Saccharomyces cerevisiae S288C: one gene and its partners. Changing the gene in region 1 together with any one later gene gives a genetic interaction. Each region holds a gene or a part of one and is shown in the gene's direction. Other genes may lie near its edges. The genes, in order: CRH1, CIS3 and MIT1.

Region 1 (3,836 bases):
TGTTCGCCCAGGAATAGATGACATAATCTTGATAACGTGAAACAGTTTAACGGGAGATTAACATGGTAGACATACGATGATGAAGATCTATTGTAAATTTCCAGGTTGAATACAAAACGGAACTAGTGTTCTTCCACAAACACGAATATCTTTTTATTTGCGAACAAGAATTGAGAAAAGAAAAAATACACGGTAAGATATATAGAAATAAGATGTACAGATCATTATACGCACCCTAAGGGACTAGTTTGTGTGAGTGAATGGCTGTGAAGTTTTATATTTATCTTTATCTAAAGAAGAATTTACCTGTTTTTTTCGGAAAACTAGTGCGCCAAGAGAGTAATTAGGTAGACCGGGTAGATTTTTCCGTAACCTTGGTGTCCCATTTTCTTAATGATAAGTATCGATCTGTGGAGAGGGGTAAAAAAACTTCTCCTCGAGGTTATGAGAACTCACAAAGGGAAATTGATATTTCTACACAGTAATATTATATATTCTTCTTTATACACTTCACCCATTATTCTATCACATTATGAATTCTTGTGTTTCAGCCCCATTAAATCTGATGACGGTTTTCCATTTTTGTGTCATATTTTTACATTGTGTATGATAACGTAGTAGCTTGTGAACGATAGGTAGTAATTAATTCTGTTGGTAATTAATTGTTGAACTGTAGTGTCAATCAAGAATAAATGCAGATCTTCTTATTCTATATAAGAGAAGTATAGAATACAGCCTTATTAGTAATATTAAACATGCTCATATGATTATCATGAAAGCATATTATGATTTCAATGTCATGACTTACATCCGTATATGTGCAAACACCAAGTTGATCATTTGAGCAATAGGTGTTTAACTTACTTTGCCCACAATGCCACTTAGTGTGTTATCATTCTCCATCGTGAAACATCAATGATGTGTGGCGTCCGATTACTTCATATGGTCACTAATGGATTAGTTATGAAGAAGTATGAGTAGCTATTTTAAGAGATTCTAATTCAAACATTATAGCAAACACAGAATTTCGGCAGACAAGTAAAATGTTATATCTTCGATATTTCAAGATGAAGCGGTGGCTCAATGGTAGAGCTTTCGACTCCAATTAAATCTTGGAAATTCCACGGAATAAGATTGCAATCGAAGGGTTGCAGGTTCAATTCCTGTCCGTTTCATTTTATTATTTAATTTTTTTTTTTTCGGAAAAAGAGGCTGGACAAATATCGCGAACCGCGTGAAGTGGCTTAGTTTTCCTTATTCGGTTGAATTGATGACGCGTTTTCCCAGCCCATCGATTTTTTTGGCGACTATTTCGATGGCGTTTTCCAGGAAAGTAAAAATAGATCTGAGCTATAATGCATTAGAACCTCTGAGGGCTTGCTTTTCGTGGTATGGGATACGAAAATGACATTATTAATTGCAAGGGCAGTTTCTTTTCGCTCGATCAAGAAGCAATGTTTCCGAATCGGGAATGTGATATAATTAGAGCGTATGGTTACTGGTTTCCCTCATGCAACAATGGATGTTATATAAATACTTGCTGGTTAGTAACATGAAAAAGAACAAAAGGTGAAACACTTTTGGAACTTTCAATAATTGCCTACTCCTCTCCATATTCTACATTTCTACTAAATAGCAAGAGAAAGGTTAAGATAATATAATATTCATAATAATTCAATACAGCAAAAAACCATGAAAGTGCTTGACCTACTAACGGTACTCAGTGCCTCTTCATTATTATCTACATTCGCGGCTGCCGAAAGTACTGCTACTGCAGACAGTACAACTGCAGCTTCTAGCACTGCTTCGTGTAACCCGTTAAAAACTACAGGTTGTACGCCGGATACAGCTTTGGCAACTAGTTTTAGCGAAGATTTCTCATCTTCATCCAAATGGTTTACCGACTTGAAGCACGCAGGTGAAATCAAGTACGGTTCAGACGGTTTGTCAATGACACTGGCGAAAAGATACGATAATCCAAGTTTGAAGTCTAACTTTTATATCATGTATGGTAAATTGGAAGTTATCTTAAAAGCTGCCAATGGTACCGGTATTGTTTCATCATTCTATTTACAAAGTGATGATTTGGATGAAATTGATATTGAATGGGTGGGTGGTGACAACACTCAGTTCCAATCTAACTTCTTTTCTAAAGGTGATACCACAACATACGACAGAGGCGAATTTCACGGTGTCGACACTCCTACCGACAAATTTCATAACTACACTTTAGATTGGGCGATGGACAAGACGACTTGGTACCTCGATGGAGAGTCTGTCAGAGTATTATCAAACACATCAAGTGAGGGTTACCCACAATCTCCTATGTACCTAATGATGGGTATCTGGGCCGGTGGTGACCCAGACAATGCTGCTGGTACCATTGAATGGGCTGGTGGTGAAACCAACTACAATGACGCTCCATTCACTATGTACATTGAAAAGGTCATTGTAACTGATTATTCTACCGGTAAAAAGTACACATATGGTGACCAATCTGGTTCTTGGGAATCTATTGAAGCTGACGGTGGTTCTATTTACGGCAGGTATGACCAAGCCCAAGAAGATTTCGCAGTTTTAGCCAACGGTGGTAGTATTTCCAGCAGCTCTACATCCTCTTCTACTGTATCTTCCTCGGCGTCTTCCACTGTATCTTCCTCGGTTTCTTCCACTGTGTCCTCCTCGGCTTCTTCCACTGTGTCTTCCTCGGTTTCTTCCACTGTATCTTCTTCGTCTTCTGTATCTTCCTCTTCATCCACATCTCCATCTTCTTCGACCGCTACTTCATCTAAAACACTTGCTTCCTCATCAGTCACCACATCTAGTTCCATTAGTTCATTCGAAAAGCAATCCTCCTCTTCATCCAAGAAAACAGTGGCTTCCTCTTCTACAAGTGAGTCCATTATTTCCTCCACTAAGACCCCAGCCACTGTTTCCTCTACCACTAGGTCTACAGTTGCCCCAACTACTCAACAATCTTCCGTATCATCGGACAGTCCTGTACAAGATAAGGGTGGTGTCGCAACATCAAGTAATGACGTGACCAGTTCTACTACCCAGATATCAAGCAAATACACATCTACAATCCAAAGTTCTTCCTCCGAAGCCAGCTCGACAAACTCTGTTCAAATTTCTAACGGTGCTGATTTAGCTCAGAGTTTACCAAGAGAGGGAAAACTTTTTTCCGTACTCGTAGCTTTACTAGCCTTGCTATAAGTGGAAAATTTCTTTTAGAACAATATTCGTAGATCACTAAGTAACATTTGAGACCGAAAAAAATAATAGCATAATAAAAATAAATACTAAATTTTAATACAACAGAAAGTCTTATACCTAAAGCATGATTTTTCCTTTTATTATTAAGGGTACGGTTCATACAAAGGAAATTTATGTCATCGTGTTTTAAAGAAAAAAAGAAAGCCCTGTAGGGGGCTCGAACCCCTAACCTTATGATTAAGAGTCATACGCGCTACCGATTGCGCCAACAAGGCTATTCTATTATTGGAAATCTGACCTCTCAGGTTTAATATGTAATTAAGAATCTATAGACTCGATTATCCACATTTCTTTCTTTTTTAGTCTTCTGAGATTTGGGTGAATAATTCTGAGAGATGGGTGAATTTCGAGATAATTGTTGGGATTCCATTGTTTGATAAAGGCTATAATATTAGGTATACAGAATATACTAGAAGTTCTCCTCGAGGATCTAGGAATCCTCAAAATGGAATCTATATTTCTACATACTAATATTACGATTATTCCTCATTCCGTTTTATATGTTTCATTATTACATTATCAATCCTCGCATTTCAGCTTCCTCTAACTTCAATGACCGC
Region 2 (3,028 bases), on another chromosome or scaffold:
ATACCTGAAATATACTTGAGGTTCAACGAAAACTGCGAAAAGTGGTTGCTTCCCAAATGGAAGTATTGTCTAGAAAATTCTTCACTGGAGACACTACCATTAAGTGAGATTGTTTCTACAGTGAAGGAACTCTCTCATGTGAATATAATAGGCGCTTTAGGAGCGCCGCCTGATGTTATATCAGCACAATCCCATGATTCTCGTCTACCGTGGAAAAGATTGCACAGTGATACGCCGCTAAAACTTATTGTATGTTTGAATTTGTCGCATGCTGATGGGGAACTGTATCGCAAGAGAGTTCTAAAGAGTGTTCATCAAATATTGGATGGATTAAACACAGACGATTTACTGGGAATAGTTGTTGTTGGAAGAGATGGATCCGGTGTAGTAGGCCCATTTGGCACCTTCATCGGAATGATAAATAAAAATTGGGACGGATGGACAACTTTCTTGGATAATTTAGAAGTGGTTAATCCAAACGTCTTCCGCGATGAAAAGCAACAGTATAAGGTAACATTACAAACTTGTGAAAGATTAGCGTCAACAAGTGCATACGTGGATACAGATGACCATATTGCAACTGGATACGCCAAGCAAATCTTGGTCCTCAACGGGAGTGACGTTGTTGACATTGAGCATGATCAGAAATTAAAAAAGGCCTTTGACCAGTTATCTTACCATTGGAGATACGAAATTTCGCAACGCCGCATGACTCCATTGAACGCTAGCATTAAGCAGTTTTTAGAGGAGCTGCACACTAAGCGTTATCTAGATGTAACTCTTCGTCTACCACAAGCTACATTCGAGCAAGTATATTTGGGGGATATGGCTGCGGGTGAACAAAAAACGCGTCTAATTATGGATGAACACCCGCATTCTAGTTTGATAGAAATAGAATATTTTGACCTGGTAAAGCAGCAAAGAATTCATCAGACCCTGGAAGTTCCCAACCTCTAGTAGTTCGGGAATCGAGGCCCGTATTTCGAGGCTTTTGCTTTTCCTTTTTTTTTTTTCGTTTCTCCACGTCTATACTACGCAATGACTGAATATATATAATGCGTCGTAAATAGCAGTTAATGTATAAATAGAAATTGAGTAAACTTTAATTTTGCCTAAGAAAGAACCTATTGGCGATAATTAAATCTCGTCATATATGCACTATATATTTTTTTTCGTTTGGCGTTGTTTATCTATTTCCCGAACGGGATTATTTCCCTGAATTAGTTCATAATGAAAAAAACTCGCAGCCGGGTAACCCTCTTCGTACCAAAAATGCACGTGTCTGTACACAATTATACCAACATGGTTGTAGCATTTCAAGTTAGCTTGTTCGAGCTGTATAGTAAAAGAAACGTCGATGTGGCTAATTTGTTCCGGTGACTTTCAGGTCACGTGTTTTCCATGCGTGCGTTGCTTCTTCCTGCAAATCCACGGCTCGTAAAAGAGGACAATCAGCTTTTTTCCGTGGTGCCTGGCCGGGCCGCCTATGCATTCCATACGATTTCCACGGGCCAGATCCCGCCTAGCCCTTCCAGCTTTTCTTTTTCCCCTTTTGCTACGGTCGAGACACGGTCGCCCAAAAGAAACGGGTCAGCGTGTACTGCGCCAAAAAAATTCGCGCCGATTTAAGCTAAACGTCCACAAACAAAAACAAAAATAAGAAATAGGTTGACAGTGGGTGAAAAATTCTCGAAGGTTTCATCTCCAAACAGTCAGTATATAAGTATTCGGGAAAGAGAGCCAATCTATCTTGTGGTGGGTCTATCTTAACCTTCTCTTTTTGGCAGTAGTAATTGTAAATCAAGACACATAAAACTATTTCACTCGCTAAACTTACATCTAAAATGCAATTCAAAAACGTCGCCCTAGCTGCCTCCGTTGCTGCTCTATCCGCCACTGCTTCTGCTGAAGGTTACACTCCAGGTGAACCATGGTCCACCTTAACCCCAACCGGCTCCATCTCTTGTGGTGCTGCCGAATACACTACCACCTTTGGTATTGCTGTTCAAGCTATTACCTCTTCAAAAGCTAAGAGAGACGTTATCTCTCAAATTGGTGACGGTCAAGTCCAAGCCACTTCTGCTGCTACTGCTCAAGCCACCGATAGTCAAGCCCAAGCTACTACTACCGCTACCCCAACCAGCTCCGAAAAGATCTCTTCCTCTGCATCTAAAACATCTACTAATGCCACATCATCTTCTTGTGCCACTCCATCTTTGAAAGATAGCTCATGTAAGAATTCTGGTACCTTAGAATTGACCTTGAAGGACGGTGTTTTGACTGATGCCAAGGGTAGAATTGGTTCTATTGTTGCTAACAGACAATTCCAATTTGACGGTCCACCACCACAAGCCGGCGCCATCTACGCTGCCGGTTGGTCCATTACTGAAGATGGTTACTTGGCTTTGGGTGACAGTGACGTTTTCTACCAATGTCTATCCGGCAATTTCTACAACTTGTATGATCAAAACGTCGCCGAACAATGTAGTGCCATTCATTTGGAAGCTGTTTCTTTGGTCGACTGTTAAATAGCTACATCAAAGTACTAATGTTCTACCTTTTATAAGGGAAAAGAAATAGAAAAAGATTATGATTTGTAAAAAGATTTTGGTATGAATGATTTGTATATTACATTTTTAAGGTTCTCTAAAAGAAGGTTTCTTTTATTTAGATAAATATTTTTTTTTTAATAGACGTAGCCACATGCAGCCTTTAATATACACATTAGGACTGGCTTATTTTTGCCGTGTAGCGAGGCAATTATGTGGTCACGATCACTCGTTGCTTTCCAAGTCTTTTTAACATTTTATAAGATTATTAGATAATGATATACAGAAAATTAGTTATAAAAAAAACATTTTATGGAAGAGTATATAAGGGGCAATTAAGAAAATTAGCATTGCCAAACGAACCAATAATGGGAAAACATCAAGTATGGCTAGCCAAATTCTCGGAAGAATGGATTGGCCAACCGCAGAAAAGATAAATGCAAAGGAATGGATGCGACTAGAGTAGTAGTAGAAAAGGA
Region 3 (4,560 bases), on another chromosome or scaffold:
AAAAAAAGTAAAGGACTTTAATTAATAAGGGAAAATAAATTTTCTCTTTCAATAAATTTAACACATAATTCTCTTAATAATTTTCTAATAATAATCTACTTTAAAAACAAAATATAATCGGTTTAGCAAGCCATTTTTCAATGATCTTTAATTTTTTAATACGATACTGATAATAACTTAATAAACTGAACTAAAATAAAATATTTTGTTTTGATTGCGAAGTAGATGAGTGAGCTGTGTGGCTGGTGAGTTGTATAATTCGCTAGTGAAACTGATGGGCAAAAAAAATTTGAATTTAGGGGGGAGAGTAACCTGTGTTGTGAGTTTTTGTTTTGTTTTGTTTTGTATATCTATTATATAAGAAGATAAGTACTGTCAAGAAGTAGAAGATTTTAAAAGGTAAGACAGCGAGCCGAAACTTCTTTAAAGAAGACTAAAATTTCGGAATTGGAAAAAAAGGTTGGAGTATTTATCTTCCGTATTTAAAGTCGGAAATTTTTCATCTTTTTTTTTCAAGATGTATGCTCATGCACTTTATTCCCCGAAGATCTTCGAAAGCAGTTCAATTTAATTGGCTGGAGATTGGCGTTTGGAGAGGCGGTGTGTATGTCAAGAAAGGCATTGTCAACGCCCGGACAAATAATTCTAATTTTTACAAGATGCCGGTGGTGTTCGGCATTGTAAAAGGTATGGGTGCTTTGTGCGTCCACGCATGGGGTATGGGGTATGGGGGCATCATCGATTGTTCTCCGGTAACGGAACACGGCAATATTTCTGTTCTACAGCTTGAATACATGCCGTGGATCTGTTTATCAAAGATAATGTCATGTAGCGTGGCAAGTCGACACAGCAACGTGTGGATAATGGATGAGACGATAGCGCCACTGGTTGGTTGTTTGTAAGCTTCGATTGGTAACAGTGGGCTAAAATAGATTGTAGTTATACCCCCACGTTTGCTGGGTCTCACGATCCATATCAGACTGCCCGCGTGGGGTTAATTCTGAGGTGTTGAGCCAGCCAACTCAGACGTTTTGATGACGAAGAACAGAAGATGCAAGTCTTCTACGTATGCAATGATCTGTCCAACTCACCGAAACAAGAAAAAATTTTGCGTTTTTTTTTTCCTACAAATCCCCCATTTATTCGGAAGGTGTGGGTGGAGGCGTAGTTTTTTGTTTATTTTTTCCCAATTTACGTAGTCCCGCAGGTCGGTTTTCCTCTCAGTCTCCGTACATTTCTTATTTTTTACGTTTAAAGTTCGTTAACGAGGCAAAAAATGGCCTGTCTTCCTCCTTTTCCGCCGGCAACTGTAACTGTAAACTGTAAAATTGTAAGTGTAATTGTAATTGTAACTGTAATTTTAACGCTGAATTCTTGCGCGCTCTCGTTGGTTACTATCTTTTCTTCTTAATCGAAGTGTGTACAGTTATGTGCCGTTTGTTTCAATTTGGCTGAATCTTCCTCATCTTGCCCCTTCTTTGGTGTTTTTTTTGCGCAACTCAAAACCTCGTTACTGCATCAAATTTAAATTTAAGCTAGAGAGAAGGTAGTGAGAAAGCTATTTTGTTTATTTGTATTTTTTCGTTTCCCGATCGTTTCCCTTCCATTTCTGTTTTCGAACCCTTTTATTTTCTATCTGTGAATTAGACAGCCTGTTCACCGGTAGCCTTTTGATTGTTTGTTTGTCTTTTTTAAGATTATCAATATTATTTAATATCTCGCCTCAACTATCGACAATATAGCCTATTTTCTTCTCTTTTTTGGTCCGCCTCTGTTGTACGCCATTTCTATACTGTGTTACTAGGATAAAATAAATACCTGTACTGCATCATCTTTCCTATCACCATCTTTTTCCACAAAACAACATTTCAACTAGACACAAGGACAACGTAAATTTCTAAATGGATATCGAGCCTACTTTCAAAGGGTACATTGAAGATGAAGATGACGCTTTGCTTATTCTTCAAGCAACTTTGGATGGCAAGTTAAAGCATATACCAAGAAGGCCTTATGAAATAGAAAGACCTTATTTGATCGTATCAGGTAGTATATTCGTTTTTATTGAAGAGATATCGGGCATCAAGAGATGGACTGATGGCGTTTCTTGGTCTCCATCAAGAATATCAGGCAAGTTTCTAATATACAAGGAACTAGACAAGGAAAACGCCGGGTCTAATGCTAATGCTACTTCGAGTGGCAGTACTGATTCCGCCGTCATTACGGATGGAACTTCTGGCGCGAGAAATAACCCTTCTTCGTCGAAAATCAAGCTACCTCCTTTGAAGAATCACCAGTTTGATTTGCCACCTACTATGGGCCATTCAAGTTTTGAGTCAGAGCAAGACACCTCCATTTCTCCATCAAACCGTTCGAACTTACCTTTAAAGTATACTGGCCTGGTGAAGAAGACAATATCTGTGAAGCTGAAGAGACCTCCATTCAACTCGATTGAAAATTTACATATTGTCTCTTATTATTCTGTAAAAGATATAAAACAAAATTGTCTAGTGACTCCTAAAGCTTCTCCTTTTTTGAAAGATGTTAGACCTTCACAGGAACTAATTGTCGCGATGGGAAATACAACCTTAGGCAACGTGAAAAACAATTCCACTACCACCGGTAATGGTCCTAATAATATAAACAATAAAAGCAACTCTTCCACTCCCCTGAATACTGTTATTTCCACGAATAACAATAGTGCTAATATAAATGCTGCTGGCAGTAATCAATTTACTAGTGCAAACAAAAATTATTATTATAAAAATGATGAAAGCTCTGGATACCCAATCACTCAATTTGCTCCCGCATTACCATCAACAACTTTGATGTATACGGCGAATCCACCTTATATCACTCAATCTCCTGATAACACTAACGCTACTGGTATGAATACACATGTTAATAATAACAATAATAATAGTAATAACAGTAGTAATAGTAATAATAGTAACAATAATAATAATAATAATAATAATAATAATAATAACAATAATAATAATATTAATAATATTAATAATGTCAATACTAATGCAGGGAACGGTAACAATCCAAATAGATTCCATAACGCCTCTTTTGCTTATAACACCACCGGTGACTTTATTAATCCGCAACAACAAGGACAAATTTCTTATCCATTTTATTATACAACAATTCCGATAAACAATCCTAACTATTATACCACACAACCTCCAAACCCTGTAACAAACGCTTCAACGAACGAGAATCAAGGCTATTCCACCTCCTCAACTCAACACCCTTATTATGGGCATCCTACTGAAAGTCAATCAGCATCAGCAGCCGCAGGCGCTACTGGCACTCCTGGTACAGCCGAGAATGTCCTTCCCGTATCCAGTATGCAGCCACTACTCCATCAAGCCAATAATAATAGTGCAAGCTCTGCTACCTCTACAGCTCCTTATCCGGTGTATTCTATGAATGTGAATGTTCCTTATTACAATTCTTCTGCTTCTGCATACAAGAGGGCACAAGAAAATACTACTTCAAATACGAATGCAGAACCTTCTGGTGCTACAAGCACTAACTCAGGCACCATGCTATCAAATCCTGCATACGCTAATTCTCAGTACACTCCATCGCAAGTGTATTACCAGGGATTCCCCCAATATGCCATGGCAAGTGCTCAAAATCCGTCTATGTATCAACACCAGCACCAACATCCTTTGCCCACTGTATATCCAATAGCGACGCCTCAACAAAATATAATGAGCTCTGGTCACACTTTGAGCACTATTGGATCTGATCCTCAACATCATCACTATCAACAAGAGCCCAACGACCACAAAAACTTCGCTATGGGTCACGCGAACAATAATATCTTAAACATCACCAATAATGATACGATGAACAACCTCAATACAAACACTTCAACTACTACACAATAAGTAAATATATTTTAAAAAAGTACTCCGATTTTCTTTTCTTCTCCTTGCCTTTTTGAGTATCGGGTTTACTCATGAAAATTATATCATTTTTCATTTTACAGTTTTATATACTTCGCTTCTTTACGTAATCATGCCTTTAATTTCATCTTCATTTGCCTATGGAAAAAAGCTATTCCTTTTGACATCATAAAATATCTTTATTAAAGAATCCCCTCTGTCAACATTTTCTACGAAAGATAGCTTAGTGTATTTTTTGAAGATGCTGTCGAAAATGATTCTCGACATACTCGCGCTGGTGGAAAAATGAAGTGGAAAAGATAAGCAAATTGATATATAAGCAAATAAACATATAATTTGGACGTACATCGAAATTAGTTGTTCTCAACTTATTTTCATTGTTTGATGAAAAGCGGAATATACATCACGGCTATATAATGAATAATGGAGACAATAAAACGACATTAGAAAACTCAAAAAATGCGTCACTAGCTAATGGAAATTATGCGATTCCCACAAAACTAAATAGGCTGAAAAAGAATGCTGACCCTAGAGTTGCTGCAATTTCAGGTGCTTTATCTGGTGCACTATCCGCAATGCTGGTCTGTCCTTTTGACGTTGCGAAAACAAGATTACAAGCACAAGGTCTCCAAAACATGAC

Evidence for each region.
Region 2: mutations in CRH1 (region 1) and CIS3 together harm fitness more than expected from each alone (negative genetic interaction), as found in Saccharomyces cerevisiae (one large-scale study listed by BioGRID).
Region 3: mutations in CRH1 (region 1) and MIT1 together harm fitness more than expected from each alone (negative genetic interaction), as found in Saccharomyces cerevisiae (one large-scale study listed by BioGRID).

The regions. Positions count from the first base shown.
Region 1 is NC_001139.9:876,049-879,884, reverse strand, and holds CRH1 (transglycosylase), read left to right. Parts: upstream 1-1,692; coding exon 1,693-3,216; downstream 3,217-3,836. UniProt on the Saccharomyces cerevisiae protein: Dual chitinase/transglycosylase that plays a role in cell wall architecture. Chitinase and transglycosylase activities are coupled. Required for the polysaccharide cross-linking at the septa and the cell wall.
Region 2 is NC_001142.9:121,765-124,792, reverse strand, and holds CIS3 (Cis3p), read left to right. Parts: upstream 1-1,844; coding exon 1,845-2,528; downstream 2,529-3,028. Other genes in the region: cyclin-dependent protein serine/threonine kinase inhibiting protein FAR1, read left to right, coding at 1-957. UniProt on the Saccharomyces cerevisiae protein: Component of the outer cell wall layer. Required for stability of the cell wall and for optimal growth. Required for resistance against several antifungal and cell wall-perturbing agents.
Region 3 is NC_001137.3:139,991-144,550, forward strand, and holds MIT1 (Mit1p), read left to right. Parts: upstream 1-1,901; coding exon 1,902-3,902; downstream 3,903-4,560. Other genes in the region: YEL008W (uncharacterized protein), read left to right, coding at 522-902; YEA6 (NAD+ transporter), read left to right, coding at 4,337-4,560. UniProt on the Saccharomyces cerevisiae protein: Transcriptional regulator of pseudohyphal growth.